Macaca fascicularis: one gene and its partner. The protein of the gene in region 1 interacts with the protein of each later gene in a pairwise test. Links are inferred from orthologs where the notes say so. Each region holds a gene or a part of one and is shown on either strand. Other genes may lie near its edges. The genes, in order: CLK3 and OAS2.

Evidence for each region.
Region 2: the proteins of CLK3 (region 1) and OAS2 interact in binary tests that used the Homo sapiens proteins (3 or more experiments, as listed by UniProt). The two-hybrid records come from large-scale screens. The link is inferred for Macaca fascicularis from reciprocal best matches to the Homo sapiens genes CLK3 and OAS2.

The regions. Positions count from the first base shown.
Region 1 is NC_088381.1:51,741,364-51,744,662, forward strand, and holds the end of CLK3 (dual specificity protein kinase CLK3), read left to right. Parts: coding exon 1-121; intron 122-417; coding exon 418-500; intron 501-1,055; coding exon 1,056-1,135; intron 1,136-1,384; coding exon 1,385-1,475; intron 1,476-1,912; coding exon of another isoform or gene 1,913-1,987; exon of another isoform or gene 1,988-2,164; coding exon 2,165-2,341; 3' UTR 2,342-2,576; downstream 2,577-3,299. UniProt on the Homo sapiens protein: Dual specificity kinase acting on both serine/threonine and tyrosine-containing substrates. Phosphorylates serine- and arginine-rich (SR) proteins of the spliceosomal complex.
Region 2 is NC_088385.1:119,925,145-119,928,963, forward strand, and holds part of OAS2 (2'-5'-oligoadenylate synthase 2), read left to right. Parts: intron 1-538; coding exon 539-717; intron 718-2,778; coding exon 2,779-3,014; intron 3,015-3,527; coding exon 3,528-3,672; intron 3,673-3,819.

The DNA of each region.
Region 1 (3,299 bases):
GAGAAGTCAGTGAAGAACACCAGCATCCGAGTGGCTGACTTTGGCAGTGCCACCTTTGACCATGAGCATCACACAACCATTGTGGCCACCCGTCACTATCGCCCACCTGAGGTGATCCTTGGTGAGTGACTGTATGGCCTGTGACCTCGTCACACTGGACTGTTGGGAGGGTATAAACAGAGGCAGTGGCATGCCTGGCAGTCTCTGCCACCCAGGGCAGGCAGAGTTTCTCAGACCAAGAGGCCAGTGTCATGAGACACAGGTGACTGACCTGGTTTTATCTGTCAGCCTTACTGAGAGGGCCTTGTAATGGGATTTGGGCAAGAGTCCTGCCAGCCAGTGTGGTGGCTGCCCTGTGACCTCCAGGCTGGAAGCATAGGGCCAGATCTCACAGCCTCTCCCCATCTTGGCTTTCAGAGCTGGGCTGGGCACAGCCCTGTGACGTCTGGAGCATTGGCTGCATTCTCTTTGAGTACTACCGGGGCTTCACACTCTTCCAGGTACAGCCACCCCACATCGCTCCCCTACCCTGAGCACTGCTACTGTGATAGGCTGCAGGCCACTGGGGTGGGAAGCCCCACCTGGATGAGAAGACAGGTGTCTTCCTCCTCCCATTAGTCATCATGTGAGATTCAGAGTCTTAAGGATGTAGATGCTAAAGGGAGTGCACAAGTCAGGGGAGCTAGAACACTCAGAGGAGTCTTATGCTAGGCCGTCGAGGATGGAGGATGGGCAGGAGGTGACCTGACCTTCTAGATAAAAGGCACAGATGAATAAAGGCATCAGGATGGGCTGGGACAGGGCATGTTCTGGGCAGGGAGCGAAGAGCTAACCAGAGGGAAATGCAGCCACAGCCCAGTCTACCTCCACCCACAAGGGCTGAGGAGCCTGAGCCTGAGCACAGGCTGGCAGGAGAAGCTGGGGCTGCCGCTTCATTGGTAGGTTTGCATCTGCGGGGGCAGTGAGGGCACTTGCCCATCTTTCTTGTTCCTTATTCTCCTTGAAGGGGCCAGAGCTAGGACTGACCCCCTTGCACTGTCCCTAATCTTCCACAGACCCACGAAAACCGAGAGCATCTGGTGATGATGGAGAAGATCCTAGGGCCCATCCCATCACACATGATCCACCGTACCAGGTAAGGACCCCAGTAGCCCCCTCAGGGTTGGTATAGGGGCCTTTCTCTTCTTGGCTGTGGGTCAGCAGGGTACTGGATGTGGTGAGTCTTTGTTGGACAGTCCATGGGTCCCAAAAACCTTCCCTGTGTGCCCCTGCAAACCTGTTGCCCTGGTTCTGCTGCTGTCTTGGGAGCTGCTCTTCCCCACCTCCCACCAGAGGCTTGTCCCCTTTCTATTCCCACACTTGACTCCACCCCCTTAATTTTCAGGAAGCAGAAATATTTCTACAAAGGGGGCCTAGTTTGGGATGAGAACAGCTCTGATGGCCGGTATGTGAAGGAGAACTGCAAACCTCTGAAGGTCAGTTTCTGGCTACCCCCAGCTCAACTCATGCCAAGGAGAGACCCCAGGCACTGGGCAGACATACAGCAGAGACAGGCCAGGCCACTAAAGGCTGCCTCCTCGATCCAGCTCTATGGGAGGCGGCACCCAAGACTGCTGGATGTTGGCAGTGGGGCTTCTTGCATACTGTCCCAGAGGGGCCCTTGGCCCTACCCCTTCCCCATAGGGTGGCTATGAATGTAATTGGGGAACACCGGAAGAGCCAGATGTCAGAAACCCTGCTGCTTCCTGTCCCTCTCTCTCCGCGAAATTTTGGGAAGGACTAGGCAGGACTGAGGTGAGGGGGAGGGAAGACCTAGACATGGCCAGGAAGCCAACTGCATTTGGTCTGTGTCAACTGCATTTGGTGCTCGGGCAAGTGAATTTCGCAGAGGTGATCTCTACCCACTTGTCAGGACTTTGCATGTGGGGGCAGAGGCATCAATCCAGCAAGACATCTAGTAGCCTGGCAAGTTCCGAGCAAACGTTAAACACAGGCATGAAAGGAAAGGAGCTGCTCATTGTCCAGGAGGGCGGAAGTAGAGTCCTCCAAGGAGGCAACACTGCCTCCTCGATCCAGTCCAGCAAGGCGTCCCAGAGGCAAGGGGACCTGCTGTGGCTTCCCACGATCCTGCCGTCACACTGAGGCACCTTGTGTCCCTGAGCAGAGTTATATGCTCCAAGACTCCCTGGAGCACGTGCAGCTGTTTGACCTGATGAGGAGGATGTTAGAATTTGACCCTGCCCAGCGCATCACACTGGCCGAGGCCCTGCTGCACCCCTTCTTTGCTGGCCTGACCCCTGAGGAGCGGTCCTTCCACACCAGCCGCAACCCAAGCAGATGACAGGCGCAGGCCACGGCATGAGGAGATGGAGGGTGGGACTGGGCCACCCAGCCCCTTGACTCCAGCCTCGACCACCAGGCCCCAGGCCAGAGCCACCCAATGAACAGTGCAATGTGAAGGAAGGCAGGAGCCTGCAGGGGAGCAGACTTGGTGCCCAGCTGCCAGAAAGCACAGATTTGACCCAAGCTATTTATATGTTGTAAAGTTATAATAAAGTGTTTCTTACTGTTTGTAACCCCTGGTACCAGTGTGTCCATCTCCAGGCTCCTTGCCTTCCCCTTACCTGACCTTATTAATAAAGTCTTTCTTAGCAGTTCAGCTTGTGGAAAGCTAAGTGTGAACTGGGCCAGGCACAGAAGAGCTAGGCAGGGGTAAGACCAGAAGTGGGGATGTCCTGAGCCCAGGCTGCTGAGCAGTCCTAGACGGCACCTCTGCCCTGCTGGCTCCTGTACCTCTCAGCCCCAGAGAATGTAACGGAATCAGCCCACTGTGACTAGCCAGGTGGGGTCTGATTTTCCGCAGCCTGTCAGTCCCATTACTGGCTGGGACTTTAGGCTGTATGTGCCCAACAATTATGGTCTGCTGAGGGCAGGAGACAAGTGGGGCGGGTTCCTAGGCTGGAACAGGCAGCACCTCATGACAGCCTACAGAGCAATTCACACACCACAGGACTCAGTCATTCAGCTTTATTTCAGTGCTGGTTTTTGGTTCCCTAAGAGCTGCACGAGTGCTAGGTTTCACCACGTGACTGGGGGCCCCTTGGGAACTAGGTACTATGGGCAGGATGCCCCTGAAAAGAACTGAAGATGGAGGAATCATACTTAATACCTCTGGGGAAGGCCCAGGCTAAGGATGAGGGCAAGGACCAGTCCCAGTGCCCCCTGGGGAGAGAAGAGGGAGAAGCTTGGGCACAAACTCCCAGTGGCCCCGCAAGGCTGTCATCCCTGGATCTTGCTGG
Region 2 (3,819 bases), on another chromosome or scaffold:
CAAGAATGAAAACCCATTGATTAAACCAGCCTCTGTCCCCAGATCTCCACGGCCCTGCTGCCACCTTGCCTGCCTTCTCAAAGTCCCTGTACCCTGACACTCTGAAGTAAAATATTCACTAGATGGACTCAATGACAGAATATATTGCATGTAAAATATAAACTTTCCTTTCTTCCAGATGTATACTAATTATGCCAACACCAACAATTTTTTAAAGAACCCACTTGTTCCCTACTAATTTGGAGAATTCCCTTTCTCATTTATAATTCCATCTCTTATCCCTCCATTAGGTTCTGCTGATCTTGTCTTGGGTTAACACCATACCGTTTTCATTATAGTCATTTTAGATTACACTTTATTATCTAATGCGCCAAGTTGCCCTTTCCTATCATATTTTATGTAAAGGTACCAGTCCTCTGACTGATTAAACAAGGATCGTGTGCTGTTAAACTATAACTGACTTTCATTGTAGAGCAACCCTGGCTCTCTGAGACCAGGTTACATAAATACCAAAGTTCCAATTTCTCTTTCACATCAGGCTTAAATGATAATCCCAGCCCCTGGATTTATCGAGAGCTCAAAAGATCCTTGGATAAGACAAGTGCCAGTCCTGGTGAGTTTGCAGTCTGCTTCACCGAACTCCAGCAGAAGTTTTTTGACAACCGTCCCAGAAAACTAAAGGATTTGATCCTCTTGATAAAGCACTGGCATCAACAGGTAATTTTCCAACTGTCTATATATGGTTATCATTCATTTCCTTTTTATAGAGATAACTGACATCCAGTAAAGTGCAACAATCTTAGGTATACAACTCAATGCATGTTTTGCAATCTTACCAGCAACACCCAAATCAACATAGGGAACACTTCCTGCACCACAGAAGGTGCCTCAAGCCAACTGTCTCCCCAGTAATCCTCCCAAACAAACCCCTATTCTAACATCTGTCACCACCACAGATTAGTTTTGCTTGATTTTAAACAATAGAAGTGGGATCATATAGTACATACTTTATGTCTGCCTCCTTTTGCTCAACAGTACGTCTGAGAGACTCATTTATGTGGTTGCAGGATCTTGCTCTGTTACCCAGGCTGGAGTGCAGTGGTGTGATATTGGCTCACTGCAACCTCTGTCTCCTGGGCTCAAGCAATCCTCCCATCTCAGCCTCCCACGTAGCTGGAACTACAGGAGTGTACCACCACACCTGGCTAATTTTTGTGTTTTTTGTAGAGATGAGGTTTTGCCTTGTTACCCAGGCTGGTCTTGAACTCCTGGGCTCAAGCTATCTACCCACCTTGGCCTCCCAAAGTGCTGGGATTACAGACATGAGCCACAGCACCCAGCCATAGCAGCACTTTTTTTCACATTTTGCCATATTCCATTTTATGAATGTAACACACATTTATCCATTCTGCTGCTTTGGGTCATTTTCAAATTGGGGCAATTTTCAAATAGATGATTGGGTCATTTTCAAATTGGGCAATTATGAATTAGGTTACTATGGATATTTTCCTACATGTCTTTTTATGAATGTAAGCATTCCTTTCTCTTGGGCAAATAGGTAGCAGCAGAATTTCTGGGCTATCCAGTACACATATATGAATGTTGTGTACATATATGTGTGTAAATATATAAAATATATATGTGGTTTACTTGTTTTTTTGTTTAACCATAGCAAATCTTGCCAAATCATTTCCAAAATCTTACCAAATTATACTCCCATCAGCAAGATGTAAGTTTCAGGAATATTATCAAACCCAACTGGGGATCTGCCCACCCAGCACAGCAAAACCAAACACAGACTTTGGGATTACCGTGAGAGAGTGAGGCATTTATTGCAGGGAGCCACGCAGGGAGAATCGGGCAGCTCATGTTTAAGAGCCAAACTCTCCGATGGCTTACAGGTAAGTGTTTTAAAGGTGAGGGGACAGAGGTTACAGGCAAAGCCATAAATCAACACATGGAGACTGTAGATTGGTTTGACCTAAAAAGGTGGGACGTCTCCAAGCAGGAGGGAGGAGATGGATGGATGGCTCAGGTCACAGGATTCAAAGACTTTCCGATTTGTGATGGGTGAAATGGGCGAAGCTTTATCTAAAAATTTCAGATCAGCAGAAAGGAACGTTAGCTCTGGCTCGTAGGTGTGACCTCCTCCAAGAACCTCAGGAAGAAATTTAGAATAAAGAATGAGGTCAGGGTTCAATCCTCAGTTTCCCCTTATCTGAGGTCTACCTGCCAGTCGATTTGCTTGGTGGGGGCCTGAGTTTCTGAAAATCAACTCAGGGACAGGGACATACTTTAAGATGTTATCTTTAGTTTCTATAGGGAACAAAACATCTTCTGACTCTAGCTTCCTTGGCTACTGTTGTAAGTGACTATTACCTTCCTTTTTTGTTGTTTTAATTTTATTGGTTTTTTTTTTTTTTTTCACTGCTCCTGTAGACCCTGAACTACTATATTTTTGCTTATCAAGTTGCTCATTGACTTTTAAAGGCTAGTAGGGTGCCTGGAATTTCCCTCGAAAGAACTCCAGATTGTCCTTTATTTTTATGCTTGTGGGATGGGAGCAGTGGGTGGCCTGCAGCCCCCTAAGAGAGGTCCCTGCTGCATCCCAGTTGTTCCACATCTTTGTCAAGACTTGGTATTGTCAATCTGCTGAATTGTAGGTATTCTGGCAAAGGAGAATGACTTCCTGTAGACCTCTGGTTTCTTGATTTCAGATCCCTGACATGGTAAGAACTGGATCCCCAAATGAGCTGCTACCCTTTTCTTCTCCCACAGTGTGAGAAAAAAATGAAGGATTTACCCTTGCTGTCTCCGTATGCCCTGGAGTTGCTTACAGTGTATGCCTGGGAACAGGGGTGCAGAAGAGACAACTTTGACATTGCTGAAGGCGTCAGAACCATTCTGGAGCTGATCAAATGCCATGAGCAGCTGTGTGTCTATTGGATGGTCAACTACAGCTTTGAAGATGAGACCATCAGGAATATCCTGCTGCCCCAGCTCCAATCAGCGAGGTGCCGAGCTTCTCATGCCCTATCCCTGTACCTCATCATCCACATGCCAGGCATACCTCTTTGGAATGAGATCTCAGTCTTGCCCTATCAAGCCAGTGCTGGACCAGAAGAATGGCAGCCACCATGGGTGGGAAGGCAGAGGGGTCTGTCTGAAAGAGGGGAAGTCCAGTCAGTGCTTTTCAAGTTCCAAGCCGTAGTCACATTTTGTCCCCTAAACAAACACTGGAGAGACACTTCTGTTATAGAAGGCAGGAGCTAAGAGAGAAAGGGCAGCGGGGGGACAGGAAGAGGAGACCACTTTGTTATTTTATTAATAGAATGTCTCTGTAAAGCAGCAAACATAGGGCCAGAGGGGCTTGATGTTGTAGACAAAATTCCTCAGCAGCTTGGAGGAGCCGCAGGAATCCAAATTCAAGTTGCCAGATTCCCACTCCAGGCCTCTTTCCCCAAAACAGATTTTGCCTCCCACAAGCAGCTCAACTGACGTTTTTTTTAATCTAATGGAATACACAGGCCAGTAATCTTGGATCCAACCGACCCAACCAATAATGTGAGTGGAGATAAAAGATGCTGGCAATGGCTGAAAAAAGAAGCTCAAACCTGGCTGACTTCTCCCAACCTGGATAATGAGTTACCTGCACCATCTTGGAATGTTCTGGTAAGAGGGTTTTCCAAATGCAGGGTGTTTCAGGCTGCAGGAAGGTCTTCCTGACACCTAGGCTAAGCCTTATCTGAGAGTACTCTGTATTCGTTTCCTGTGCTGCTGTTACAAAGTTCCACAAAACAGATGGCTTAAAGCCACAGA